4 linked regions of the Lepisosteus oculatus genome follow. The protein of the gene in region 2 interacts with the protein of the main gene of each other region in a biochemical or structural test. Links are inferred from orthologs where the notes say so. Each region holds a gene or a part of one and is shown on either strand. Other genes may lie near its edges.

The links.
Region 1: the proteins of prostaglandin E synthase 3 (region 2) and tert form a complex in vitro, tested with the Homo sapiens proteins (2 studies listed by BioGRID). The link is inferred for Lepisosteus oculatus from reciprocal best matches to the Homo sapiens genes PTGES3 and TERT.
Region 3: of the proteins of prostaglandin E synthase 3 (region 2) and caspase-3-like, one has a biochemical effect on the other in vitro, tested with the Homo sapiens proteins (2 studies listed by BioGRID and IntAct). The link is inferred for Lepisosteus oculatus from reciprocal best matches to the Homo sapiens genes PTGES3 and CASP3.
Region 4: of the proteins of prostaglandin E synthase 3 (region 2) and casp7, one has a biochemical effect on the other in vitro, tested with the Homo sapiens proteins (2 studies listed by BioGRID and IntAct). The link is inferred for Lepisosteus oculatus from reciprocal best matches to the Homo sapiens genes PTGES3 and CASP7.

The regions. Positions count from the first base shown.
Region 1 is NC_090705.1:36,252,413-36,259,885, forward strand, and holds the start of tert (telomerase reverse transcriptase), read right to left. Parts: upstream 3,004-7,473; 5' UTR 2,856-3,003; coding exon 2,622-2,855; intron 1,946-2,621; coding exon 787-1,945; intron 349-786; coding exon 159-348; intron 1-158. Other genes in the region: lipid scramblase CLPTM1L, read right to left, coding at 5,351-5,435, 5,832-5,947, 6,511-6,555, 6,952-7,007, 7,098-7,132, 7,219-7,301. UniProt on the Homo sapiens protein: Telomerase is a ribonucleoprotein enzyme essential for the replication of chromosome termini in most eukaryotes. Active in progenitor and cancer cells. Inactive, or very low activity, in normal somatic cells.
Region 2 is NC_090696.1:20,892,885-20,900,424, forward strand, and holds the start of prostaglandin E synthase 3, read right to left. Parts: upstream 3,015-7,540; 5' UTR 2,790-3,014; coding exon 2,788-2,789; intron 1-2,787. Other genes in the region: naca (nascent polypeptide-associated complex subunit alpha), read right to left, coding at 7,365-7,379. UniProt on the Homo sapiens protein: Cytosolic prostaglandin synthase that catalyzes the oxidoreduction of prostaglandin endoperoxide H2 (PGH2) to prostaglandin E2 (PGE2).
Region 3 is NC_090696.1:75,474,791-75,482,284, forward strand, and holds the start of caspase-3-like, read right to left. Parts: upstream 3,015-7,494; 5' UTR 2,800-3,014; intron 2,173-2,799; exon of another isoform or gene 1,891-2,172; intron 227-1,890; 5' UTR 222-226; coding exon 148-221; intron 1-147. Other genes in the region: primpol (DNA-directed primase/polymerase protein), read left to right, coding at 4,258-4,440, 4,547-4,641, 5,287-5,476, 5,895-6,042, 6,399-6,689, 6,860-7,022. UniProt on the Homo sapiens protein: Thiol protease that acts as a major effector caspase involved in the execution phase of apoptosis. Following cleavage and activation by initiator caspases (CASP8, CASP9 and/or CASP10), mediates execution of apoptosis by catalyzing cleavage of many proteins.
Region 4 is NC_090699.1:38,479,825-38,487,654, forward strand, and holds the start of casp7 (caspase-7), read right to left. Parts: upstream 3,010-7,830; 5' UTR 2,863-3,009; intron 427-2,862; coding exon 320-426; intron 1-319. Other genes in the region: nrap (nebulin-related-anchoring protein), read left to right, coding at 4,258-4,329, 4,838-4,932, 5,348-5,435, 7,156-7,260. UniProt on the Homo sapiens protein: Thiol protease involved in different programmed cell death processes, such as apoptosis, pyroptosis or granzyme-mediated programmed cell death, by proteolytically cleaving target proteins.

The sequences.
Region 1 (7,473 bases), on a different chromosome or scaffold from region 2:
TTCCGCAACTCCAAATAACTGAAAACAGTATACGGCTTTTGCATTTTCTGGATTTGAATAAATCATCATATCCATAAATCTTTCACATTAAAGAGCATCTGAAATGAAAGCAGTAAGCCAAGCAATATCTGTGATAATGGAAAAAAAAAAAACTGTACCTTATAGCCATGTCCCACAGTCTTCTCCAGATCTTCTTTTTAAAGAACATAAGCATATTTTTTTGCCAGGAGCTTTCAGTGACATAGAACGATGTCCTTACTAGCACAATAACCAAGGTGCCCAAAACCCAAGTTAAAAAACTTGCCAGGATCTTCTCACGGTATCGGTGCTCAGTCGCAGGACAGGGAGCTAAGGCAGGAAGGTTATTGTTATTCATTGATGTTAAAATTCACTCAAGTGTTTTGCTGTCAGTCATGACGGATCAATTCATCAAAATGACAACAAAAACATTTAATCGATATCCAAAATTAGAATACTTTAGTTTCCTAAGAACGTAAATAGTGATATGTTTTTTAAGGCTCAGCATACATTACAGTTGCATATTAGTCTTCCAGTAACACAAGTGCTGAACTAATCAAAATGTTAAATACCTTTAGGTTCTCACTCATAACTACAGTCATTAGCAACAGTATTACTTTTTTGTATTTGTATTGCCTAAGTCTTATATGGTAGCTCTTTTTACTATAATACTAATGGACAAATAAAACTGCCAGAGTAACATTTTAACATTTCTTTTGGAGATTTTAGTAAAGAAAATGTTGCCATGAAAACTGTAAAGTTTCTTACCAGATTTATTTAGCTTAAGCCAGTCACAGTCCTGCACTCTCATCTTCCAAAGGACTTCCTGAAGAGACAGTCTGTCAAACTTCCCCATGGAAATTAATTTTTTAACGTTTATTAAAAATCTATTGAAATTGTGTTGTGAACCCCACAGCTGAAATGGAATAATGTATTTTAAGCACTCCCTTATGAACATATAAACCTGTGTGGGTTTGGTTTCTTTTGAAAGAAGACCTTGGAAATCACTGGGCTCTTTTGAGTCCAAACTTCCAGTTGCCTTTGCCACTGTGTTTTGACCTGTGGGTTCTTCTGAGCAAGTCCTTTCTAAGAAAAGGTGAAATGGACATTTTCTATGATTTTTAAGCAACTGGCTAAATGTGCCAAGCATGCTTTTGAAACGCTTGGGGATTTTTTTCCTGCCATCAAATCCCTTTCTGCATAAAAATATGTCCTTCACAAGATCTTCTGCATTAGAGTTTATCTGCTTCACAGGATCAGCCCTGGACTGTACTTTCGGTTGTTTGCTCAGGACAGAAGACTTGAAGCTTGAATACAACATGCTTTGGGCCTTGAAAAATACAGCTGAAACAGGGGCTTTTTTTGCCTTTTGCTTTCTCTCCTCTATAGTATTGCACCCTGGCTCTTTCTTGGCCTTCTTGGTTGGAGGCCCCTCACTGTCAGTTTTGCTGATGTTTTGGCGGGGACCTGGGGCACCTCGCTTTTTCTGGTGTTTCCTCATCCTCTTCTGCGACTTCCTACGGTTTCTATAGAAATTTACTTTAGATTTTGCCAGCTGCAAGAGCACATTAAATCGGTTGTGCAGTGACCTAAGCCTCACACATTTAAATGAGGAGTAATTATCCCCAGTGATGAAGTGATCGTATACAGGGATCCCAGCAACCTGGTAAAGACAAGAAGGGGCTACTGTTGTGAAGAGAGCACACGACTCCAAGAGATGCATCATAACAGCAGTTCCAATCCTTTGGAGTAGGAGATCCCACAGCGGACCGCTGCTGATAGCAGAGGTGCAGTGGTTACTTTGTTGAGAAAAAACGGAAGCACAGTTTTCACCGACGCCCTTCAGTCCATGTGCCAGAACATTTCTTTTTTTCTTCTGCATGATCTTCTTCAGAATGATGGAGACCAGTTCTTTCAGTGTACAAAGCTGATAAAAGGATTGGAAAAATAAAATGCAGAAAAATTAAACAATTGCTATCGATTATTTTATATATAATAATATACTAATTAAAAATGGTTTCGACTCTAGCCTTCCTACACAAGTATACGCTTGTTTTCCAAAGCCTTTAAAAGCACTTCCACTGACACTGTTTTGAGCCCTCCAGAATAGTGTTTCATTGTATCAATATTGGTAAGAAAACGATATTATGATAACACATCTTAATGATTTATCGTGTGAGGTTAATTTTGTAACACAGAACTGAAATAATCTTCGTGCCATTTAAACCCAAGGACTCCGACACTTCAAATAATACATTTATTATAATGCTATGGAGAACTAACCTGCTGTACCTGATTGTTGATTTCTTTTCTAATTCTCGAAATTAATCCACAATGAGTGCAGGACCAGTAATAACACTAGTCTTTTTTGTGTGCATTTTTAGAAATTCAAATACAGGTTTGAAACGTGATTTTCCTTTTTTAAACGTACATGTAGTTTTCTCTCATCATGTATTTATTGCACAGCCTTTGCATGCTATATATATGTATAAAATACTACTAAATAAGGTAACAAATTCTTACATACCGTACATAGTTACTTAAAGCCATTAATTGAGCAGCTGCTTATTTGAAGGATACGCAAGAATTCATTCAATCAATACCTGTTCATAACTGGTGGGCTGTGCCAAAGCCTTGCTGTCGGCGGAAGTGCAAACAATGATGCTTGTAATGAATTTTTTGTATTTCGCGCTGTCAGTGCTTAACACCAGAGGCTGTCTGTTGTCCTCTTTGAAACGAATGCCGGCGATGTATTCCTCCAATGTCAGCACAGATGAATACACAGATCTTAGGATACGCAACACTGGGTCAAAAAGCTTGATATTCTCCCTAGACATCGTAGTACCACGCACCAAAACACTGCAATCGACAGCTGCTCTCTACCGATCCACTTAATCCATCACCGCTTCTTCAAATCTGGTCAAGCTGCTCCTTCCGAAATCTCTAACTTCTCCGGAGGCCGCAGTTCAGAAATACCTGTCTTCTTTTTCAACCCAATCAAAACAGGATCTTTTCCCCTCGCAATTCTATAGTCACTTGTAATTGGTCAACATAGGAACCGGCCTGCAGACACCGACATTGACATCTGCCGTATAACCACTTACAAAAGCGGCGCACGTTTTGGTAGACCGATTAAATAGATTTCGTTCTGATTTTATTGTATACTCACCTGATTCCGAATATATGGAACAGCAGTTTGGGGAAATTGCTGCTACACTGTAGAATTTATGCTTAATAATGATGCACCCGAATGTGTAAATAGAAATCTTGTGCATTAAAAACAATTCAGACGAATGCATTGACATAAAAAATGCACCTTTTTATTCAGCTCTTCTGATAATTGACATTCAAAATTAATAGTCATCCCTAGAATTCAGTGATTATGGACAATAACGTCTTTTTGATTTATAAAACTGCGGTACTCATGTACAATAATCATTTATGGAAAGAGTTCACCAATAAGACATACAGTAAGAACTTGAAAAAATGCTTTGGTGCTTAAAAAGTTTATTTTTATCTGTTAATTTCACGTTTGAGTGATTTCTGTGCTGTTTTCCTGTCAATACTACAAGTATTTGAAAAAAATTCTTGCTTTAATTTTAATTTACCGTGTATACTATACATCTGAATTCACTGTGGCCGAACGATATTCCTTAGTTTAATGTCCTAACCCAGGGATTTGAGACTCAGACTGGAAGGCCTGGTGCTTTCTAGTTATGGTTCCACCTGAGGTGTTTCATAGTTGGTTTATTTACAGTATCTACAAATTGTAATACTTAGTAATACTTATAAAAGGCTTTAATGTGTTTGTGAAGTAACTGTACCTTTAACAAAATTACTACTGTAAAACCTGCTGTAAAAGACCTTAAATATTCCATCTATAGCAATGAAAATAGATGTTATTTGTAATTTATCGCTCAAGTTGGAACAAAAGGACACTAGGCCCTCCAAGAACTGTGTTTCAGATTCATGTTCTAAGCTAACCTTAAATGAATTCAATCTTTTAGTGAGTCCAACCATGAACCTATTTAAGATAAATAATGAAACAGAAAACACAAGACACTAGTGGAAACGAATAGGAAGCCTTTAAAATTTCCAAATAAGACTAAAAAGAAGAGGGATGTTTTTATTCATAAGATTGTGGGAGTTGGGAACTTGTACTCAGCAATATTACTGAAGATGCAGTTCAATAGCAATTCCAAAACACTGTAAAACATGATAAATTAAAAACAACCCCCTGCCATATTTAAAGCAAATTTCATTTTTTTAATGAAAAGGACAATAGAGAAAAAATGACAAGCAAAAAATTGATATGAATCATAGATACATCTTGAAATTATTCAAGTCAGGTCCAGTGCAGCACAATCTGTTCCCAGACATGATCAGACATCAATTATCATTCACGTCATTGGATCTTTTTTAATAGTAGCCCACATGGTGAAATAAGTACTGTTACAACATTGTGGTAATTAACTATTGGTAATGGTGAGAACTTAAAAAATGTATTATTAAGATCAATTTAAAATGAAAAATGAAAAAAGATCCTATAAAGATAAACAATTGCTACCCAAAAGAAAAAAACATTGTTCCCTTACCAGCCTTCCAAAATACAATATTCTAGAACAGAGATCTGAAACACTGTTAAATGTTAAAATGCATCTCCATCTAACTTCATGTCCAGAATGGTAAACAAACATGTTGCCTTGATTGTTTTACTGACATAAATAAGTAGCAATTGTTGTGGTTTTTTTTTTGGTCTTGAAACAGTTTTCCTGTTTTGTACACAATAAAATAATGGAAAATAAAGTATTTATTCCTGAAGCATTTCAATTGGGTAGCAATTTGACCTTTAATTTTTCCCACCCAAACAAAAATATTCTTTACGAAGGTTTTGGCACCAATTAATTTCAAATACTATGTGAAGTGAAAAGGTAAAGAATGAGTAGAATATGTTTCTTTTTTGTGCAATACCTGCTGCTGTATATTAACCTTTATGATTTTCCAGATCGAGTGAATTTAATATCCCTGAAAGGTCTATAGAAGCTTGCCTAATGCACCTCATGCTAGGGGGAGATGAGCAGGCAGGATTAACTTCATGCTTCTCTATAGGCTTTGGCTATCGATAGCATCTCTTGAGTTACAGGTAGGCCACTAGTTAGAGAAACACGTGCATTATGGGATGCAGCCCCATCCTTCCCAACAGGCACATTACTGGAAATGTCAGCAACACTGCAGTAGTTAACCTGCACTTTGATTTAGAAACACGTTCTACCATTGCATATACATGTGAGGCATCAAGGCCAGGGAGTTCAACCCAATTTTCAGAGAATGTTTAGTCTTTATGTGGCTTTCCTTTAGGTTTTTCATCATAAGAGACACCGTATTCATTGATTCGACTTTTATCCACAGGGTAAAGCCTGCAAAAAACAAAAATAAATAACATAAATAAATATATAACATAAATAAATAATGTAAAAGGTACACAACAACATATTCTGTTACTGCATTCTCCATCAGGACAGTATCTCGAGAAAACATTTATCTGTCTCCTCAACCAGGTGGTTTGTATATATTCAGGACATTTTTACATTCATTTTTGAAAAAATAATCGTAACCAATTTCTCTAAACTATAATTCAATGTGTGACTGTTAAAGGGTAATCAACACATGGTGTACTGTTTAATACCTAGATTAAAACAGTTTTAATGTAACTATGAATTGTTTTTGTAAGGTCACAAAATGCTAAACCTTTACATTTCATTTTAAGAACTAAAAACTAAAATATCTTAGTGAACACTTTCTGGATAGCTTACCATCTTTGATAAAGATAGATAAGGAATACCACATCGTCTCTGAAGCAGGCAAGCCGGTGGGATGTTGGCATGGTAATAATGAAAGCAAACACATCGTCAATGAAGGTGTTGAATGCCTGGAAAAACAGAAAGGTAGGAGGTGTCCTGTAATTACCATCAGCAGAAGACTGAGCACATTCTCTTTCCCATTTTCATTGCCATTAAACTGATCCCTTCTATCAGTTTAGTGTTTGGATTTCTTTATTGAACGCCATTACAATTTTCTGGACCTGTGCTTGCCGTTCAGTAACAGTAATTGCAGTATTGTCAGTGAGAACTACGTCACTCCTTCGACTGATGCTAACTGTCCTGTAGGCACAATCTGACCTTCATCAACATGACATTTCAGAAGAAACAGCACAGTCCTCATCCCTCCCATGTTAGTATGATAGTTATAACAGTAAAATAACGCAAATAACAATTCAAAATTTCAACTTTGTGGGGAGCATTTACAAGATTTTCTTTTAAAAACTGAAAATAAACACCTTTATAACTTCTAACTTTTACTCATTTTTACCTTTTACAGATAACTTAAGTGTTCATGTGAAAATAAGATTCTTAACCAACTACCAAGATTCTTAAGAGAATATTTATCATCAAAAACAGTTTTAAAATTCTACCAGCTATAAAATTAACTCACTTTGTACATGAATGCCTTCCATGGCAAATGTGCCACCGATTTTAACTGAAAACAGAAAGAAAGTTAAACATAGACTTTAAAGTCACAAACCAAAGTTTTTATCACAATTCCTTTTAAATTGGAATTAAGCACATTTTTGGAACTTTCTCACATTTATGTAAAAAGATGTTTAAGCAGAAGAAATAAAAATGACAAATTCCAGCAGGAGGACACCTCAAGGTATGCAAAGTGAAATTCAACTGAAAGCAAGACTAATGAAACACAAATGAAACTACTAACATCTTGCTTAAATACACTTAACGTTACACAGCGAAAACGAATGAGACACACATAAGTCTTTCTTGTTTTCAGTGTTTCGTCCCAATCTAGGTCTGTAATTTTTCAGCAAGGAAAACGTACTGCTTATAAATGGAATACTAAAGGGTTTTTGTAAATACTAACCTTATAATTTACAAAAAGTTGAGGTAGCATGAACAGGAATCCAAATGCATAAACCCCTGCCAAAATACAAAGAAAAGTAGTATAAATGTTAAATACCTTAATTAATCACAGTGACTGACTTAGGCATGATGCTGAACAGAACTTACCATTGACAAGACTGTTGATCAGCCATGAGTACCAACTGTAAAAACAAAATAAAAACCATAAGATTAAAAATATCAAAAATAAATTATGGAATTACAAAAAAATTAAGATGCATCCCCTTACCTTTTATATTTCACATAGATCAAAGAGTAAACAGCTCCTCCAATACACAAAGGATACAGCAAGTAGGATAAATATTTCATTGCCTGAAGAAAGAATGTGAAATTTGTACTTGTCGTATTCCATTCGACATTAAAAGGTGCTTTATGCTTGGTCTCTATTAAATAGGTTCTATTTTATTAAAATATTTTTTTTCTGGCTTTTCTGAATTCTAAAGCTGTTTTAAGTGTGCAGAGGAAGAGGAGATTAGTTTTGCCA
Region 2 (7,540 bases):
TAGAATTATGGCCAACCACGTGTGTGGATGCGTGTGTGGGGCAGAGGATTGAGGAGTTCATTCTGACAGGCAGGAGGCCACGTAATTAGTGGTTTGCACTCATCCACGAGTGGCATAAAGCAACGGGAGAAGACAACACTGCTTACACTCTAGCAGCTGGTGGGCTTGAACACAACAGCAGAGGTTATAAAAGAAAATGACTTCACACACCATGTGTAAGCAAAACATTTGCAAAGCAGGGTTTCAAGTCGATGTGCTGTTCCAGATCCCAGCTTACGCACAACCACCTTACAGCAAGTGAAAACTGAAATGGCTCAAACCGCTCTGTAATGGGGCAGCACGGTGGTTTGCACTCCTGCCTCACAACCTCACAACCCTGGGGGCATGCGTTCACTTCTGAAACTAGGGTGCTCCCTGTGTGGTAGGTTAATTGGCTTCTGGGAAAACTGACCCTGGTGTGAGTGTGTGTGACGGATTGGTATCCCATCTAGGCAGTACTCTGCCTTGTGCCCATTACTTGCCAGAACAGGATCCAGCTCCCTGAATTGGACAAAGCAGTTAGAAAATGGATGCTCTGAAGGCAGATAGGTTTACCTTTGCAAGATCAGAGTGCGTGAGTGATATTCAATTGTGAACCAGGAACCAGGGCTTTCAAAATTAGAGCTCAATGTAAAGTTAATCCGACAGAAAAGCTTTCAAGAAGCCACAGCCCAGATGTGCAAATCCAGTGCAGGCTGAAAACACACGGCTGGATAAAACACCAGAACTCCACCCAGTTCACTTCTCCTCGACCCCCTTCCGTGCTCATTACTATGTGGCCACACTTCTTCAAGCTCTGCAAGACTTTCGACAGCACACCGGAACCACCTCTTCCAACGTTTCCAAGGACTCCTCTCCTCCGGGAAGGAGCTCCGCTCTTTCCCCGGGGAGTTCACTGCAGGACATCGCACCTTCTTAACCCAACAACAGGTAGCCTAAAAACAGCCTACCAACTTCCACAGTCAGGCAAACGCACTCACCCACTACCTGCTCAAGTGAACTTACAATCAAAGTATTGAATACCAGCAAAAACACTACACTACTTCAAGGAACAGGTAAAGTTTATTCTATGCTGAAAGGAAAAGAAAAGAGACAACGTTTCAGCTGTGGAGCCTTCTTCGGGTGCTCAGCCGGGAACCACCGCGTATCTTTCCTTCTCCTCTCAGCCTGTAATAAACCTTTACCTGTTCCTTTGCAGCCTATGCCTGCTGCCGCAGCTCCCTGCTTGGACGTCTCCTATGCCACTTAAAAGTTTTCCTGACTTTTGATAGCGGCCAGCCCACCGTGCCCATGTCTGGACGACGCCCCCGTGGAGGGCTGGTGCGGCCTCGAGTGAGCTGGGAGAAGAGCTGTGTCACGGATGGGCTGCAGCACAGGAGCAACAGCAGGTCATCATGGCAAGCTGTAGTTCTGTAGTTACAGGCGACGGACGCTCACCTCACCCACAGCTCATATTTACCTGCTATTACCCCTGAGCTCGGGTTCAAAGGGGCCGGGCAGCGCACACCCCGGCTCGTCATGTGACCCCCCCCCCCTCCCCCCAAGGCAGACGACGTGGACCGGGCCGGACCGGGCCGCCATCAACAAGCGAGACGCATTTGTCAGGCGGTGGCCATGAACTGACTGTGCAGCCCGAAGACTTCAGTCCCAGCTGCTGGGTACTCCATCAGCACAACCATGTTCACGCCAGGCTATTTTTTAGCGGTTCTCAAGGTCGAAACCGTCCTGTTTTATCTTTATTTTTTTTAAGCCATTCAGGCGCAACTGGTAAATTACTACACAATCGAACAAGTACGTTTAATGTAAATACAACCAAATATTCAGAGCACACAGACGCAAACAATGAGACTAGCAGAGATTTCATTCTATGAAATCGCAACGGAAAATAAATATCGGCACACAAAACCCCGCTCGGCAGGCAGACATCTTCTCATTCATTATCCCCGGCGTGCATCGCGGCACTTTCACTTTCGTGTAAAAACACCACGGCACGTTGCGGGACTTGGGAGGCATATACCCCCCCAGAAAGATCTACCCTGATGATCTGGGGCGATTACAGCGCGATTACCCCAACATCGGAGCTGACCTAAAAGTATCTCACCCCCAGCCACACGAGGGGCGGGTGCAGTTCGTTGCGTTGCTACCCCAGCGCAAGAAAAACCTTAATTTGATAGGAAATGCACGGCCCCCGAGCCATCAAGCCACAAGCATAATTAAATAAATGCAGAATACGTCCTCCAAAAGAAGCTGTTAGCGACCACCTCCGTTTGCATCCCGTCCCGCTGAGCGTGTCTGTATTCCCCCCTCTCCTTTCTCCCCAGCGAGCAGACATGCTCCTACAGCGCGGAGGTCGAGCCTCCCGCTACCTGCTACAGATCCGGACAATATCGAACAAATGAGCCCAGTATTTCTCCAAAATACCCTTTCACACAACCTCCACGCCCCCTAAATAGGTTGCAGGCGGGCACACGACCAGTCGCACCTTTTCAAAAGCTACGTTTTCAAGCGCCCGAGAGACACCCCGGCGCTCAACGTGAAGCGCGGCCTATACCGCGCTCGCCTGCTCTCTGCCTTGCCCGCTGCCCCTGAGAGACGACTGGGTAACGTGAGTGTGTGTGTGTGGAACAGGGAACCTTACTCTGGTCCAAATTTTTCTAGGCACCCCTGAAAAGAATTAAAAAAATAAAAACCGCCGTAAGTGATTCGCCCCTTTCTCCCCTCAGTCCATTCCAACCCCCATCGACTTACATCTTGGTTATCTTATTCAGATGTTTCCTACTCTCCGGAGTGCTGCTCTGCTGTTTGTTTCTCGTTATCTGACAGAAAGGTGTATTTACTCTGAACGAAGTAAAAAAACGAGCGATTAAAAATAAAAACCCGCCGAAGCTCCGAGCTGATCTCCCTTCTCCTCGCGTGTCTCTCCTCCTCGTTCTCGCGCAATGACGCAGCAGCCGCGCGCCTAGACGTTTCTAGAGCTTCCACCGGCCCATCTCGTCTCGTGCGGTCTCCCGCCCCTGGCCGCCTGGGCACCATGGAAACGGAGAGGGCAAAGTTCATCTAAAACATTCCCTGTCCTGGGATCGCCAGTTTGGTTCCGATTCGCATCCAAAACGTGTTACTCAATTAAGAGATGGTGAATATCTCATACCAAATATCTCGTTTTAATTTGTATTACCATGGCGACTGTTGTTTAGAGCTGGGTTTTCTGGGAACTGTAGTTTTTAACTTACCAAAGACTATAAAGCGTATAATAATAATAATAATAATAATAATAATAATAATAATAATAATAATAATAATAATAACTGTTTAAATAAAGAGCCTTTCCAAACCAAAGGGCGCTGTATATAGTGATGAAAAAAACTAATTAAAATACAATAAAGGGTAAAAGAAAAAAAAACAATAGCATACACTATAAACTACAGGGCAATCATACACAGTCCCTAGAAAAAAGGTCGGTTTTAATATATATTTTAATATTTGACCATAAAGAACGTTTACCGTTTGGTTATTAGCATGCAATTAATCTGGGATTCTCACCCAGTCCTGTCTTGGAAGAAGCCAGGGAATTGGCTTCAGCAACATGGCTGCTTAGCTTGCTCCACGCTCCCACCACTCTTCGCACAGAGACGAGCCTTCTGCTCTCGGTTTTAGCAGGACTTGTGTCCTCTGGTTTGAGTTGCACTGTTGATTCTGAGGAAGGTCGCTGGGTTGACTCTGTCAGAGCCTTTAAAGAGTTTGAATGCTTGAAGCAGGTCCCCCTGGTGACTTCTCTGTTCAACATATTTGTATATCTGTAAAATATTTGCGCTGTCGATGCGGCGCATTTCCTTACGTCTCAAAACGAGTTCAAAAGCAGCAACATCCTTTTTGATGTAAAATAATCTATATGTTTGTTTTCGTAACCCACTTCTGTAGACTCATATTAGCCTAGAACATACAGCGGTCGAAAGAGATTTTCTTTTCAACGGTGATCAGTTTCCAAAAACTGTCAAATGAGGTCAAATTGTTCTACCTCGTAGAAAGGAAGAGCGATCATATAATCAATCACGCCAACGGCTACACGGCGATTCTGTAGTCCGGAAAAACAGGTCAACATCGCCGCCTAGTGGACTACCTGTGGAAACGTCTGTAGGATTTAGTCATGTCGTTTGCCAACCCGCTTTATACCAAACGGTGTCGCGGGAAGCCGGAGCCTACCCGGCAAGCAACGAGCGCAAGGCAGGGTACGCCCTGGACAGGACGGCAGTCCATCGCAGTCCATCGCAGGGCAAGTGCAAGCCAATCGTACATGGGGAAAATTTGGAGGCCACGGTAAGGGCCGAGGGGGGAAATTTGACCCGGACACCAGGACAACATCAATTACTCACCTTCTTGTATCAGTCTAGGCCGTGAGACTCGCACTGTCTTCTGCCAGGTTCTTAAAACATGATTTTCAAACAAAAATGCAATTGTGATTTTCTAAGCCTGATTCATAAGTAACTAAGTTTATATGCATATTTTAAATATTCTAAAATTGAAACGCCATGCATTTTATACACGTATGCATATTTTAAATAGGACACATCTTAAACAGCTCAAATTAGCACCTGCACACATTAGCACCTTCACTTTAAGGCACTGCACTGTTTGCACTATGTCCTGTCTTGGCTGTATTATAATGTCTATTGTCAAAATTTATTGTCCATGTCTGTTTGTCATTTGTGCGGATATTTTTTTTCTCTCTATTGTTACTGGGTGCAGCTGAACGAGTAAGCATTCCACTACACTTGTTGTATAGGGCAAATGAAATTCGAATCTTGAGCCTTATTTAAAAACGAAGGATTTGGAGATGGATGGCACAGTGGAGAGCCTTTCGCCTGTGTCTGCCCAACAGAAAACCCAGAACCGCAGGAGAGCAGACTCCTGCAATGTCATTTGCAAGAGGTTTCCCGACGGCCGGTGCTCACCCGACATTCTTCAAAACTGCATCCAAGTAAAAAGATCCCCTCTCTGATTTTGCACTTCCGAGGAAGCACGTTCATCCATCTATCAATCTTCCGCTTTCCTCACGGCAGAGACGGAGCTCATCCCGGCAAGCAACAGGCACGAGGTGGGATACACCCTGGATGGGACACCAGTCCATCACAGGGCACACAGACACATTCACACACTCACAGCCGGGTCAGTTTTCACAGACGCTAATGAACCCACCAGCCTGTACTCGGACTGTGGGAGGAAACCAGACCAGACAGACAGCACCCCCGGTCCAAAGCCGAACTCAGGGCCGCTGCGCGCTGCGCAGTAAGGCAGTATTGCTACCCACGGTGCCACCATGCCATCCACATTCACACTCATGATATTTGTGAAAGCAGTGCAGGCTGGCAGCTTGGAACCTGAAGACTCTGCTCCAGTAATGGCCTATTCAGCTTCCCCTGCCTGACAGCACCGGGGCTTGAGCTTTCCCGTCTGAAGCCAAGACTCTGAGAACTTGCTTGGCAAGGCGGAGGTGTGATAACATCCAGGCAGCAACAGCAAGGATGAGGCTATTTATGCTGCTGCTGCACTTTGAGCAGAGGAGAAAGCAATAGCCGATTCTTTAGATTCACCTATTACAGGGAATGACAGAGTAACTACCCTTTTATTGAAAACAATGTGCAGTTTTCCAGGTGTGGCACCTATGGCTGAGCAGGTCACTGGCTCAGAACAGGAGTATTAGTCTTTGGATGGAGGCGTGGCTGGATAAATGGGTGTGGCCAACAAGAGTTGTGTGGGTGTGATGTTCAGGGCTGCTGAAACACTGAAGATGGAAGGCTACCCTGTGAGTAGCTGGTGTAGGGCACAGTGAAGCCATGACGCTCTGGCTGATCCCTGGAGCTGGATTGCAGCCATCAGTGCCTGGGTGTCACCCCTTGAAGAACACAGCGTGGCCGGGCGAGCTCTAGGGTAACCACACATGGTTACCCAAGTCATGCAACAGGAAGTGCAGACTGACCAAACAAGCAGGACATTAACTTTAGCTTCAAGTCACTAGGGAGCCATTTGATTTTGCAGAGGTGAAACCAAAGAAAAGCTGGCGAGCAACTTGGGGAGATATTCTCTTCAAAATTTGTTAAAATATTTTCAAACATTACTGAAGTCTGTATCCATGATACTAACCTTGTTTTGCAGATTGGTTATGAACTACCAAGGTCAACCGTGTACATAGTGCTCTCAACAAAACATACTGTATAATGCAGTTTCCTGCTCTGTTTCCATGTTTAATTGTTTGCTCATTATAAAATAGTACAATGATGGTCATTTTAATACAGTAAGTTGCACTTCCTAACCTCAAATACGTAGCTAAAGCTTTAAGAAAACACAATCGTTCTCATTTTAAGAATAAAACGGCAAGACTTATTTTAATATTACATCTCTCCCTAAACTCTTACTCATCACACAAATGCTCAGAGACTACCGTTATTCAAACGTGAAATATACACCCACCCCAGACAGAATGAGAGATAGCAAACTGCAGGTGTTGATATCCTAAAACTACATGATCTATTACAGTGCTACCAGCTGTACACTTCCTTATGTGGACAGTCGCGTGCTTACACAGAATGAAAACAGCAGGAAAGTTACTTTCAGCAGCACAAACGCGGCCCTAAAAGGATTGTTTCAGCTCTCCTGCACTGTTGTAGGGGCTGAATGACCGCACACCGTAGAAAAGAAGGCGTTGTATCTCGGCAACGAAAGCAGCACACATGCTCCTTTCAGCAGCACAAATTAACTTATGCGGCGGTTTTTATTGTGGTGTCGTCGGGGGGGCCACCTCATGGAGCTGCAGGGGGCTGGTTTGGATTCGACCAAGAGGCAGTTCAAGCCTCCTGCGCTCTGCTGTGGGACTCCTCCCAGCTCCCCAACAAGTTTGCGATCATCCTTGAGCTCCGTCCTTCAGAGGAGACGGCAGGCAGCTGTTTTTCACTCCACCTTTGTCTCTCGAAGGCATCTGTGGCTAAAAAGTGGCTGCAAACTGGATTTTGGGAAACAAATTTCATGTTTCTAGAGATGGTTTCTATATTCCACCTTTTTAACTTGTAAGAAAGGAGAAAACCTACTTCCGGGCACTTTAGAGCAATGGAAAACACTTTATTGCCAATAAATACCAGCACTCTAGAATACCAGTTATAGAAAAATAACCCTGAAACCAGAAAAAATCAGGGCAAAAAAAGAATGGTTCCACCTCAAGTTCATAACTTTATTAAACTCCCTGGTAAAAATTGTACAAATGCCATTCAGTAATCGAACAGCAAGATCTCGATCCATCGCAGCCTGTCGCCTCCTCTCGCTCTCTCTCGGGACTCTTACATCGTCAGCTCCTGGGGGGAAAGACCAGAATAACAGCGACGTTAGCGAACAAAACCCTGGGCGGGCAGCTGTCAGAGCTGCTTCTCAGCGCAGGAGGCCTGGCTTCAGCAGGACTTGGAAGAACAAAGGTCTGGCCATCGCTAGCATCCCAGAAGCCAAGGGAGACTGCAGG
Region 3 (7,494 bases), about 55 Mb from region 2:
TCTCTTCAAAGAACACCGAACTACATAAATAACTCGCGTATAAGGGTCTCTTCACACGTGACAAGAGTCGTGACAGTACTGTTCAAAGGGCACCCGGTGTTTCACGCAGCGCAACGGCTTTGCAGACTGGACGGAAGAAAGTCTTACTGGGGGGCACTGGCCGGCTTGGCGTCCACAGCATCTCCTCCGGCGCCTCGAACGGGTTCCGTCGCCTCAGACATCGTCCCTAGACCGAGGGAAACAAGCGGACCACAAAGCTCACCTGGGGCTCCGCTCAGTCACTGGTTTCGCCAGTGGCAGCTCACACACAGACACACATACATACTGTACAGACACACACACGCATGCATGCATACACATACACATACACATACACATACACATACGCCTGCCTGCCTGCCTGCCTGCCTGCCTGCCTGCCTGCCTGCCTGCCTGCCTGCTCTGTGTTGCTAACCGCCTGCTCGGCCAATAGCAGCCCGCGCTGCCAAGGGCCGGGCTCGATGACGTCATCGCCTGTCAAGAGCAGGCTGGAGCCCGTAACTCCCTCGAGCCCGCGAGGCGATGACCTCACACACGCCGGCCGGCGGACAAAAGAACCCCCTCCACCCACCCTCCAGGAGTTTTAAAAATTTACACAGCCTGATGAAATACGAAGAAATATCACCCCCCCCATTAGTTTGTGTACTACTGCAGGGATCCTAACTGTTTTGGCTTTAAGACAAAAAAGGATGAATTTATGAACAGTATAACTGTATAGTAGTTCAGGTGGGCAGCTGCGTCAGCATGCGTAGGCTGCAAAGGAACAAGTAATAGGTTTATTCCATGCTGAAAAAAAAGAAGAAAGAGAACACAACGTTTCGGCCGTGGAGCCTTCTTCAGGTGTAAGGAAGAAGGCTCACACCAAGAGAGGGCTCCACAGCTGAAACGTTGTGTTTTCTTTCTTCTCTTTTCAGCATGGAATAAACCTATTACTTGTTCCTTAACTGTACAGTATAATGCTAGATGCAATGTAGGCATTATGGCCTGGTTTACTGTCACACATTACTGGGCCTGTTCATGGTCGGGTTGAGCTGGGGGAAAAGAAGCCCCGTTTTCCAGCAAAATATCACAATTAAGGAAGGATGATACTGTAATGTCCCAGAGGGGTTCCAACAGAAATTCATGAGGAACCGGGGCACACACAAACGTTTTCCATGGCCTCGTCATTTCACACATGACAACAAATTGGTATTTCCCTCAAAACTTTAAAAAAAAACCCAGAGAAAAAAAAATTAGACTCAAAGTTAAACGAAAAAGAAATAATATAATTACAACTTTGTGATGTCAAATCCTGCTTTTCTAAAAAAAGATGTTAAAATCCAAGGGAATTTTTATATTTGTGTGGGACAAGAAGGAAAACGTACATTTCCACCAGGAAAGGATTTTGAAGACAATTCTTAGAATTCAACAGAAGGATGCACATTTATTCGTTTATGTTTGCTTTTGTTTGAATTATTTGGGCATCTTGACAATTAAGCAAAAGCATTAGACATTAGTTTAATAGGCAGAGGTAGGTATTGCCCTTGAGGTAGAATTACATCGCACCGTGACTCATTGAAATTTGAGTGCCTACAGCAGGGATGTCCAGCCTGGACTCGGGAGGGTTTATATAGTATGTGTAGAAGCACCTGAAGAACTCTGATCAGCTTGATTGATTGATCCGATCTAGCCAAATCATTCTAATAATATACTGATATTTTCTCTGTGAAAAGCTGTGCTGGAATTAAAACCTACTTGACACACCAGCCGTGGCATAGCTTAGTCAGCAGCAAGGTAGTGCAAAACAGTCATCTTCCTATTCAAACACTGACTCCTCTAAAAGCTCACTTCAAGTTTAAACATCCTGCCAGAACAAAACGTTACTTGCAAATCTGAAGAATTCTTTTTATTTCCAAAGTTTGTCCCCTGATGAACACAGTGTTTTTGAACACGAGCAAGATATCCCCTTCGATGGAGGAATTATTATTTAAAAAAAAACAAGTTCAGGAAGTGAGCGATATGTTCGAGGAAAACCTAAAACTTACAGGAAACATTGTACCCACCCACGAGTGAATCAAGTGCTTTAAAACAGCCACATCAAAACACAGTGGAAACGTCAAATAATTCAAAATCACGGCTTTATCTTTCTACTTGGTAAGCCAGTTTATTTTTTTCTCGTTTTGACAGATGTGCAATTAAAGCAAGAGGCGTCCGGCTGTTTGTCTGTGGTCTGTATATTCTTTAATACAAATCAAATATTGCAATCTTGAACGTGAGGGAGATTTTTTTTTTTTAAAAAAAGGACCGAAATACCCTTTAAATGCTCCGGTTAGGAAAGACCAAACGTCCACTGAATGACACTGACCAAACAAGTCAATACCAGCTGTTAGCAGCTCATTCTCGACATGAAATACCTGTGCAATTTCAAGCCCAAGTCTGCCGATATAATAACAGCTTCATGGCAGAGACTCCGTCTATATCTTGACAAGTTTGTAAACAACAGTTGAATATTTTCACCGTCCACATCCAGGCGACTCGAACTCGTGTTTTGGTATGAAACAAAATAATCGATCACTTTTCCGAAGACCTTTTTTTTTTCCGGTAACGAAAGAAACTTGTATCACAAGTGCATATGGTTTTACATCAAAACTCGGGACGACGAGGGAATGAATATAACTTAAACTGACACGGGGTGGTTGTTAATAATAATAATAAAAACAAATAATAAAAATACGAACCACAATTTCCAGCTAGTAATAAGCAAAATAAAGAAAGACTTACGTTTGCGGCTCTCTGCTCCACACTGCTCTTGTCAAAAACTTAAATCTTCTGCGGGTTCACTTTCTTTTTTTTTCCCCGTTTCAAAGGTTGGGTCGCAGTTTGAATATCTGTTTTTTTTTTTATATGGCTCACAACACCTCCCCGCTTTTTGAAACGGGCCGTGAAACTAACACACACACACATACAACAACAAAAGACCGCAAAGGAGAAGGACCGCCCTACAAGCACCGTCGAGTTTTTGTTTCTTTTGTGTAGTTTTAAGAGCCACGATGTGGTGGTATTGAGCTCCACCCTTCGCGTTTTTTTTTACGTAAAATTTTTTAAAAAAACCGACATATAAAAACGAATTAAAAAAAAAAACTACATCTCCCAGCCGCCGGGCCACGAAACGGAAACTGTGCAAAAGGGCGGCAACTTTAAGGAAAAGGAGACACAAACATTGCAGGCAGCGTCTGTGGGTTAATTTGTTACCCAGAGAGAGTTTGCAGTGTGTTATTATTATTATTAATAATAATAGCCGAAATTAAAAAAAAAACTTGGGCCCTCGGTAAGTACAGTATGTGTGTATTTACTATACCTTTCTGTGAACGCACATACGAGACGTGACGAGGAGACCTAATATTTATATATAAAATGATATAATTGATATAAATGTAAAGGAAAAATGATCGTCAGACGCTTGATATCTTCTTATGATGAGGTCTAGATAAACCTTAAAGTCGGGTGTCGTCTTTTCGGGGTGTTTTATATTCTTGTATCGGTCCCTTTGCATTTGACAGTGTATTTAGCCAACTTGTTTGAATTGCTTAATTGGACATTATTTATTCTTCAAGCAAGAATTGTAAGGCTTCCGTTTTTTAAATAATGCCTCTTCAGAGCTCAATAGGCGGACAGGAGTTTACAGTGCGACCCAGCCTAACTGTGAGCTGTCGTCCATCTTCAAAACATCTTCAAAACGTAAAAGGAGGCACGCCTGCGTTTCATCTGTCTTGCCGTTTTCTTCCAGGTCAAGGTGACCTGTGCTGTTAATCCAGGTCAGTGTAACTATCTGTGAAGTGTTTGTGTTTATATACTATGGGAGTGGTGGAAATCATTCATTTTTTTTCTCCTCCCTGTGGGGAAAAAAAAATATTTCTATGACCAGTATTAGTTACCCGGCGTCCTTGTCAAATTTCCCATTGGCGTTTACTCCTCATGGCCTCCTAATAACCTCCCTCTCTGAACTGGCTCCCTCACTCTGCTCTCCTCCCCACTGAGAGCTGGGGTGTGGGGAGCGGACTGGCGCCTCATCCAGGTGGGGCTGCACACTGCTGGGGGTGGAGGGGATCCCCATGACCTGGGGAAGAGGGCAGATGGAGGAGTTTATCACCCAGGTTGATGTGCTGCGCGGGAGCTGATCGTCTCCTGTTCTCGGCCGCTCTCCAGGGTGTCTCCCCGGCGCCGCCCTGCTGGTGAGGGATGATCAGGCAGGAGTGGGGCGAAAGGGTGAGGAGGGTGGCGTGCCGGGCCGAGTGGTACCAGCACTGGCCCCTGTCCTCGCCGTACAAGCCCAGGCTGTCCAGGCCCTGGCAGCCGTCTACTCTGTGGCGGGTTTTCCCCCGCCAGGGCCTGGCCTTCGCTTTCGCCAAGAGCCGCGCGGAGGTGAGGGGCCGGGGTCGGCGGGGCCGTTTCGTCTGGGGGGGGGAGTCGGAGCGCGATCTGCTGTGAAACAGGGCGTGAAGCTTCCGTGTGCTTCTGCCCCCCGAAGGGTGTCCACGTGTTCGCGCTGGAGAACGGCCCCACCGAGGCCGGGCAGAGGATCTACCTGGTGACCACGTATGCCGAGCTCTGGCACTACTACAGGTGAGTCCCGTGACGGGAGAGGGGGGGGGCGTCCGGTCTGGGGAGCCCGCGTAGCTGCTGTGGGATAACTGCTCCAGGCACGGCGGGGAATGAAGCCAGGGTGGCGACTTCATCAGCGCGACGGGCTGGCGTGTTGCCGACTGCCCCATCCCTCTGTGTAAACTGGCGGCTCCTTCTCCGAGTTCTGGATGTCCTTCCGCGTACTTCCCGCTGGTGTCCTGCGCTCTTTGTTTCACTGATGGCGGAGAAGTAGTCGTATAACCAGACGCCTAATTGTACACCTGTGACGATCTGGACCTTGCTCAGATATGAATACAACTTTGAGGGCAATATGATCAAGTCCCGAAAAAACAAAGATGCCTAATTATTATTCCCTTAAAACAGTCATGATGCTGGTAAAAAAAATTCTCTACACTGTTTTCAAGAGCAGTCTTTGTTAGCCACATACAGTAGATCGAAGTTCTAATATTTTGTGAAGCGGCCTACTTTTATTTCATGTACTGTATCTAGTGTGTGAATATATAGCAAATAAATTCAAGGGACTACAACTTATTGTTCAAAAGCTTTCATGTCACATTACACACTCAGAGCTGTTTGCACAAATTGGTCTGCTGCCAGCACAGCGTGTTTTGGTTTTCACCCCAGGACTTACAGGCGGTCTCTAATGCACTGCTATGAGGTCATCCCCGAAGGTGCAGTGTGCAAGCTGTACTTCGATTTGGAGTTCCACAGGCCCTCGAACGAAGGTCGGGATGGAAAACAGATGGTGGCGTTTTTTATTCAGGTATGGAGCCAGCGGTCTTCACGGCGTAGGAGCAGCACAGACGTATTACAGGTCCAGTTCACAAAAGGTTTCTTAATTCAGAGTGTGTGAGCGAAAGTTACAGCGTTTCATTATCCTCTTATGTTTCTAACCGAGGAGAGAAGGGTCTGAAACCCTTGCGCTGAGCTGTGCAGAGTCACTTCACTAGGGCTGTAGTGTATGCAAATGGTGTGGAAAGACAGGAAGACAGGGTAATAAGATGCCCACGGTACTCTGGCAGCTATGAGGAGTGCCTGATTTTCATGCATGTTTGTGAAGTCAAAAAGCCCCATTGAGATGAAGTCCTTGCGGGAAGCTGCAGCAGCAGTGGCAAGAGAAGACACCCCAGGGCTTTGGCTGCGGGCTCCCGGACCCTGGATGTGAGCATGTCCCAGACAAGACCTTCTTTGCACTGATTTTAAACTGATCTGTGGTTTATCTTGTGTCCTAGTATGTATGTCTGAAATTGGAAGAGGAATATGGAATTAAAATCTCCAGGGATGATGTTCTGAATTTGGATTCCAGCACAGAAGAAAAGTTCAGTCGACATCTAATATTCCTTGTTCCGAATGCAGCTTTTAAAGACAATATACACGTTGGTATGTATTTAGATAATTTCTGGTGATTTGTTTGTATTGCAGCCTCAGATAATTAATGACCAAATACCCTGTTAACTTGGCTTATAATTCTGTGAAAATGTAATGCAAAATCGCCTCAAGTTTTGGGTCACACCTGTAAAGAATTGTAGCGCTGTGTGAACTTCTAAAAAAACAAGACAAGCCCAGCTTACACCATTATTCTGCTAATTCTCTGGTGTCGTGTGTCTGCCTGTCTCATTAGGTCTTTAGATCACTTAACTCCTTTTTTTTTTTTTTTTTAGTTTTTGAATTATAAAGCAGTGTGACGTTTCTCGGTGTGATATTACGTTCTTACTGGTCTCATTTTCCACTTGAAGGCCATTTTGTCCACAAGGTGTTAAAGCCAGCGCTGGAGGAGCTGAGAAGGAGAAGACACCGTCTGGTGACAGAAACCCACCTGGAGAGCAATGGACAGCCTGCAAGCAGCCAATCCCCTCTTCCGTCTTTTGGACCTGGGCAGGAACCGGAGGCTGAGAGGCTGAGGAATCCATATCCCAAGAGACAGAGAACCGGGGAGGGTCCAACCTCCCCATCTCCTCAGGCTGGGGGCCTGCTGTTTCTCTTCGTGAAAGACAGAGATGGACAGGATCAGCTCTTTGTTGATGTCGGTATGAATAACATTGTTCGGCTTCCGTTTGCAAACACCGACGGCTTTTTCTGGGTCTTACACGCGGCGCTCTGAAGTATCTATCAGTTTACAGACTGTGACTGCCTTATGAATTGCATACCCCTCACTTTGAAGAGTTACTCATCTATTGCTGTCCTCCTTCCCTGTTAGGAGTGTACACAAAGAACAGAAATTTCCGCCTGTACAAATCTTCCAAAGCTGGGAAGAACGTTGCCTTCAGTGTAGCGGAGGACAACACATTTGTCCCCAGGCCTCAGAAGCACCTGTCTCACGAAGAACAAATATTTCTCGCCTCCCTCGTCAGCAATGTTCGGTACTGCTCTTCGTAATTCTTTGGTGAAATCAAAGACACTTGCATCCAGTTGGGTTACAAATGAGAGGAAGTCATTTATCCCATTCAGTCCCAGTCAGGCAGTGGTTTCTAGTAGCTTACTGATCCAAGGATCTCCTTCGGCTGCTTTCTTGAAAGTTCCCAGGGAATCGGCTTTAATCCTGGCTGTTCAGTCAGAAATCATTAGGGATTTCTGACCATTCTTTTTAAGTGTGCCACAAGATTTTGTGTGTCACAGAGTGAAAGGATATGTTTTGTTTGTAAAGTTTTTGAAAAGCGTACAAAATAGTTTGTAGGCAACTCTAATCCCAGTGTCATTCAAAATGTGATGTCAGGTTTCACAATGGTGTAGCTACTGGCCAAGCTAAAAGAATAAACTAGTTCTTTCAGAAGTCTGCTTACATATATGAAATATATGAAAATGACTTTAAAGTAGAAAACAATAAAAGGTTCA
Region 4 (7,830 bases), on a different chromosome or scaffold from region 2:
CGCATACCCCAGCTTGCTCTCCATGAGACACACAGACAGGGAGAGAGCCTGGGGTCAGAGCGCAGGGTCTGCCATTGTATGGCGCCCCTGAAGCAGTTGGGGTTAAGGGCCTTGCTCAGGAGCCCAACGGAGTAGGATTCCTCTGCCGGCTGCGGGATACTGCGGGATACTGTATGAACCGGCAACCTTCCAGCCACAGGGGCAGATCCTTAGCCACAGAGCCACCCCTCCGCCCCAATGTGGGCTATGATAGGAAAACAACTGCAAATGCACACTTTTAGGAAGCCATCCCACCTAAAACAGGATTTTTAACACTTACTTTCCAAATAGAAAAAATCTTCCTTTTCGGTCTGGTTTGGCATCCGTTGCATCACCTGAAGGCTCCATGCTCTCTTCTACCTCAGGAACAACAGATTTGTCTGCCATCTGTGTGGCAAGAAACATCTTGCATAAAAATTTAAGTGGAACGTATAAACAGGCACATAACTAAAATGAAACCGTGTGCAAACTGAGCCTATGATCTTAATAAAAAATAACGATGCCAGTATTGTATTTCTAAAGAAATTAAGCTAACAGAAGATATGTTCAGTACACACTTTGGACTGAACATGTGCAAAGCATATCTGCAGGAAAGGAGAGTCCATCCATTAGTTAAACCTCAAATTCACAACGAACAATACAGATCCCATCCTGGCCACGGAACATGGGAATCTGGTCTATCCTTGTTAAGATGTAGCTTGTTCATACTGTATATGGCAGCATTCCTCAAGATGGCTTGTTGTAGATGCTGTGCGAGCATGAGGTGACAGTGCCACTTCTGCTTGTTACCCAGGCCTGCTTTTCTCCAAATAAGAGCTGTAACTGTATTCTCTGTATTAAAGGGAAACTGCAACACTATTTTATTTCAGTGTGATAAAGAATCAGCACTGATGAGTGGATTTTAGACCACATTGAAAGTAAAATGTACACAGTAACATGTAAAACCTCTAATTAAAATCACAAAATTAACAACATTTCGAGGTATTCGCAGCACCATATTTCCGTCATATCAACTGCATGCTGTGTTAACAAGTAAGTAGATCACAGAACTTTTCTGTAGTGAAATGTCTTCTGCTCAACCTATACTTATATGCTTATACATCGCATTACATTCGTCAGTGACTAGTGAGCAGGAAGGGCAGATTTTACATAATAATTCTCGCAAACTCTTGCTCTCGTCCGTGGTGAGCCCAGTGGTTTGCAACAACATGGCGACTATCCAGTACTTTAACAAAGTTCACTATATTGTTCTTAATCCAAAATTTGACATTTTTTGTGATACTGTCAATTCATTTTGTTATTGAGATTTCATAACTGGTCTGAGAAATTGAGATTGCAGTTCCCCTTCTAGACATGCGTGTTCAAAGAGGACATGGGAACCAACCATGAGTGTCTGTGCCTTAATGTCCAAGCATGAATGGACATTAAGGCACAGACACGCTATGAAAAGTATCCAGTCTAGAGGCTTGGAGGCAGCATCACTGTTTGCAGAAGATATTGTCTTTGCCTTATCTGACTGTGATCTCCGACACAAGACTGAACATTTCACTGCTGAGCGTGAAGCAGCTCAGATCAGCATCTCAAAGTTGGAGGTCATCATCCTCTCCCATTAAAAAGGAGATTGCTCTTTTCTTGTGAGAGGCAAGAAGCTGTCCTTAGCGAAGGAGTTCAGGTACCTAGGGGGCTTGCTACTTCGTAATAACAAGTGGCAGTGAGGACTGACAGATGGATGCATTGTCAGCATTGTTGAGGGCACAATCCCAGTTTGTGATGGTGAAGCAGGAACTCTGCCGATAAAGATCTGCAGGATTATCTAAGTCCCCATCCTCCCCTATGATCAAGAACATAGGGCAATGCACAAAAGGAGGTTTGGTAGCCAAGCTGATGGGCTTCCTTGCTGAGACAGCGTCACAGTCAAAGGAGACAGAAGCGAATTTATCCTCCACATTGAGAAGAGCCAGCAGAAGAAGCAATAGACAAATGTGAATCAGTGCAGTTTGAAACAGATATGGGTCCTACAGAAAGAGAGATGAGCTTTATCCTCAAACATTCAGAATGAATGATGGACTCCCTCTACACAGCAGTCAATGCGTTGCAATTTGCCTCTAGGATGGACAGATGTATTGCCTAACCAAACAGTTATAGAAAATAGATTTTTCAGCTTAAAAAATTTAATGTTTCCCTTTCCAATCTCATTTGCTCTATATATGCTCTCAATAATGGTTCTATAATACTAAATGAGATTTAGTATTCCACTTTAATTATTTGAAATAACTTTTAATTATACTATATAATCGTGTACAAAGACAACGTCTAGCTCAGCATAATGTTCAGGTGTATAAATTGACAGTAGCTTCTTAAATACAAGCGGCAGTAATGTAACATTAAGGTGTTTACAATTGAAGAAGTTGGTTATTATTTACATACATGTAGAAATGTTAGTACTTCAATGTACTTAAAAGAAGGGCTATTCACACTAAAGTTATAAAGGCCCTATTTTTTCCCAATCCCTATTCTTATCTTAATTAACTTACAACAGAATTTTCGGTCCTGATCAAACTATCTGTTAAAATGCTACAGCAACTTCGAAACACACTTTGTAGGTTTACTTCGTGGGAGAAAAGAAAACATTTGAGATGTTTTAATTGTGATATCTTACACGTGTCTTTAATGTTCATTCATAATGACACACTGATTTTCGTCTCGTCTAGTTAACATTAGTATTATAAAATAAAGCATTTTAAGATGAATCTACAAGAGCAGAGCTACGTAAAAATGTTACTTGATTTAAAAAAAATCAAAATGGTAGTTTGTCATACTTACTTTTTCTAAATTTTGCAGCTGCTTTTTTCTTTGCAGTTCTTTAATCTTCCAGTCTATATTGAGCGTTTTCTCTTTCGTTTTCGCGTAAGTTAACTGATAGAGCAGTTACAACGAAACAAACAGGAAGTAATGAAAGTATTTTTTAGTTTCGACCAGCTTCCCAATAAGGAAGCGGGTTTATTTAAAGGTCCTGCCTTCTATTACGAAAGACGTGAGAATTTAACTCAAACGTTCATGCACCATTCATGTAAAACATCAACCATAAAGATGGTGTAAGAAATGTATAATTATTAGCATGTTTTCAGTCATTCTGTTTTCAGTGTTTGGATCAGTAAGCTAAAATAAATAGGTAGTCTAACATGATAATTATTATACATTAGGACTATTTAAAAAGGGGTTCATACGGTAGCTGAAAGGCAATGTGCATCAATTTGATTATACTGTATACAGTATGTTCAGTGGATTTCACCTTTGCCTACCACACTTAACACTAATTTCAGAAAGGAACAGAAAACAATTGTTTTGGGGTGTGACTGAAAAGACAGACTTACAGCAGATACTGAGGTACAATGGCTGTCTCAAAATTGCTTTATGAAATTAAAGCCATGTGGCCTTTCAATATAATACAACTGTCATTCTTAGGTTATTTGTTAAAAAATAGATTAAGTACTGTACATGCCAGTTCAAAGTCTGACTCATAGGACAATAGTATGAGGGTTTATTCTCTGGTGTAAAAGTTTCCGCAGATAAGGACTATCAAAATTCATCCAAAAAGTCTACACAAGGCGATTAGATTTGTTCCTGTTTTCTGAATTTCCTGAATTCTGTTCACAAAATGGTGAAAACAATTAACTCTGAAACAAAAAGCTTAGAAAAACTTTAAACATTTAATGAAACAGTGAGAAGAAAATGTGGTGAAGTGTACAAAATTGCAATGCTTCTACTTGCTTAAAGCAAAGGTTTTGAAGACTTTAAGAACAAAAAATTCAGTGTCAGCCAGACAAAGACAACTTGACATATGTTACACCTAGTTTAGTTATTGCAGCATCAGGTGCATAGAAGTCATATTTGTAATGTGCATATTGTTATAACATAGCTTATTACTGAGTTCATTCATGTATTTTAGGAGGGAGACAATCTGGGTCAGGCACCAAAATTACCTCCTGACTCAATTCAGTACAAAAACAACATATTACATCTCTGGTCACCTAGCCATCTCAGCCAGTGAGCAGTCGTCCCAACTGAAGTGGGAGGACCTTAGATACATTAAAGTAAGGGACAGTCTGTCACATTCTAGAGAGCTAAGTATAACACAAGCGTCCACGGAGTTTCCCTGCTACTTCTGTACACTACTCATTTTATTTTTTAAAATTATTTATACAATATTTTTTCAACATGAATGTCCAGCCTTGTGCCAGGTGTGGCTATATTGTTTACCCAGCTGAGAAAATCAATTGCATTGACAAGGTAAGGTTATATTTCATATGGTTAATATTCATATGACAAAGGATATATAGTGACTGTAGAGTGATTTTTATAACGAATCAATTCCAGTACAGTTTTGATACTTGTGAACGAACCCTTGTGACTTGTGAGGGAAGTAAAATGTTCAAACACAAGAAATATTGAATTAAATTAACAAGAACAGAACAGGAATTTATAGCACCATTGTGTAAATGTATTGTGGATCTGTCATCAGCCAAATTACAGAATGCGTTCCCTTCCACTATTGCTCTAACTATTCAGTAGCCATCTTCTGATGTTTGCAAGGTTGTTATAAGTTGTGTTGGGATGTATACTGAAAGCCATAAACACAAGTGAGTACTGGATCCAATATATAGTTTAATACTTACCAACATCCAATCTTAAAAAAGTATGTAATATTTTCAAAATAAAAATTAGAGTGCTGCTGATAAGTTCAATGCCATCTAGAGTACTGAAAATTTTGCTTTGCTTTCCTGTTTGACTTATATAGACCTGGCATAAAGCCTGCTTTCACTGCGAAATATGTAAGATGATCCTAACTACAAATAATTTTGTGAGCCATCAGAAAAAGCCCTACTGCCAAGTGTGAGTACTTAAAGCATGTGTGTATTTATTTGCATTATTACTACTTTTATTGAAATGTATGTTACTGTATGCTGATTTTGAAAAAAGCAAAGCTTTTGTATTATTTCCTCAATAGACAGTAAAACGGACAATTACAAAATCCCCTTATATTCTTTTATCTTGACATGTAGATATCTATTAGCAATAATAGTAATGTTTTAACATTGTGAATGACTATGGCAATGTTATCGTTGTGTATCTTCCATGCATATACTTATTTTATACAAAATAACACAGTATCTCCTTCAGAACAATCATAGCTCATTACTAAATAACTCCATGTTTAAAGTATATGTGTCACCAGTAGTATATGACTATTTCATCTGTATATGTGTAAATTCATCTGTACATCTGTAAAATCTGATGATGTCTACAGGCACAACCCCAAGAACAACAATTTCACTAGTGTATATGAGACACCCATCAACTTAAATGCAAAGAAGCAATCTGAAGCAGTCAGTGAGGTGAGTGATATTGAAAACAAAAATAAAAGAAGGTGCTATGGGTAATTTTCTCCACAGTTATGATTTAACCTTTATCAGGAATGTTCTATAAGCAGATAAAAAGATGTATTTGTCCGATACTTCAAAGGTGCAGTCAGAATTTCAATACAGGCATTTAAAAAAAACAGGATGTCGAGAATGTCACTGTTTCCAAATGTACTGTAGGTGAGTGGCTAGCCTAAAAATAGCTTCAAGAGTTGTGCTGATGATGTTATATTAATTAAAACTGGTAGAATGTAGTAATACAGTAAAATTAGGAGCCAATTACAGTACACAACAAGATAATATAATGCAAAGTAAGATGGCATAGTAAAGTACTAAAAATAGATCATGAAAATTATTAAAATAGGTATTCTTTGTGTACAAGCTTTCATAGTTCATATGAAGTTCAGGATGAGTCCTATGTTCTATGAGACTTCAGGTCTGGAATGAGTTGTGTTCCTATTTATTCTATTTTTGTGTCATGACTGCGACATGACACCTCACTCTCCCTCCCAGTTTATGAGTTTACCAGTTAAAATTATATCCAGGGTAAGCTGCTCACCTCCTGCTTTCTCCAGACACCTCCTGTTCCTCTCAATCACAGCCCTGCTTTCAGTCTACACTATCGAGTGTGTGCTAACTTCTATACAATCGTTGTTTTTAGAGACACTTCTTTGACAGTAAAATCAGTCAAATTGGTACTGTACTGTATACCAAAAGCACACTAAAGCAGTGGCTCTGTGGCTAAGTATCTGCACCTGTGGCTGGACGGTTGCCGGTTCGTATCCTGCATCCGGCAGAGAAATCCTACTCCGTTGGGCCCCTGATCAAGGCCCTTAAACCCAACTGCTCCAGGGGCGACGTATACTGTAAATGGCTGACCCCAAGCTTCTCTCCCTGTCTGTGTGTCTCATGGAGAGCAAGCTGGGTTATGTGAAAAGACAAATTCCTAATAAAAGAAATTGTATATGCTCAAAGTGATCTTAAAAAAATAATGAGAGGATTCAATTGCCAAATCTGCTGTATACCTTTCTGGAACAGGATGTTTTTATACCTTCTGTTCCTGAACTACAATCAGACCAGGTTTGGGGAAAGTCCTATACAGTGTGTGTATGAATTCCTAGGCCGTTAATAAAATGTGATTGTGACAGTCAGCATGCAAAAGGACAGGATATCAAATATCCCCTTAGAATGGATCTGTTTTTGAGGGTGCAGTATTTACACTTCCTCTGGTACATATGTTTACATTTCATACACTGCACTCATTCACAGTTCGCAGGTGAGAGCTCATTTGTTTTAGGGTTTTCTAAAATTGTAAAGGAATGATTCAGTTTTATGTAGTGTATTAAAAGTATAAAAAGGTCAGTAGTGCCGTGGAAGATGCTTTGTCCACAGTTCAGTGTAAATTAAAAAATTGTCAATAGGTTATTGCATTGAAAAATAAATGAAGCTCCACAGATGTCTGGAACAGTAAACATTCATTACTTGGATCACCCTAGAAGTCCTCAATGTTCAGTATAGATTCAGAAAACTGTTTAAGTTAGAAAAGTTTATATTTTGGTCTGTTACTCGATATGCCTTAAAATTATCAATCCAATTGAACTTTGCTATAAATTACCAATTCTTTTGATATCTTTTCAAAACTTTGATACTTCCTGTAACTGCTGATGTGATAAATGAAATGGTAAATTTTCTTTAGCTCAAATACCGAGAAGAAGGAGAGAAGTATAAGTCAGTTTTTCACTGGGATGTGAAGTCCAGGGAGGTGGAACATGCTCGTAAAATCAGCCATCTTGCAAGTCAGGTAATAACCCCTCAATTGTAGTTGAATATTTAAGCAGAAGTAAACTAAGAAGTCTAATTTTAAAATGAAAAAAGTCACATATATATTAAATTACTATATTCTGTTGATTTCTAATTGTCTCTGAAGTGGTAAATAAATTACATAAATTACTCTAGAAAAGTCCAGTTTTGGGCAGTACTGCTGCCTTGCAATGCTCTGGCGCTGGCTTCAGTTCCTGGGGCACTATCTTCATGGAGTTAGTACAGTATGTTGTCCCCATTTCTGCCGGGTTTTCTCTCACAACACAAAGACAAGCAGGTAAGTTTGTATCTCTGTGTGCCATGAGATGGACTAGCCTCCTGTCTAGGGTGTGTCCTGTCTTGCCCCCATTGCTTACTTGGAGTAAGCTCCCCCGTGACCTTGTACTAGATAAGGTGTGGTTAGAAAATGATGGGTTGAAGGAAGGCCAGTTTTGAAAAAACAGAATTGTTGATTCCAAATTAGGTGTGCATAAAATACAAATAATGAAAAAGAAAGACTCACAGCCAAACCTATCTACAGTAATTGAACCAGGACTGATTTATAACTCAC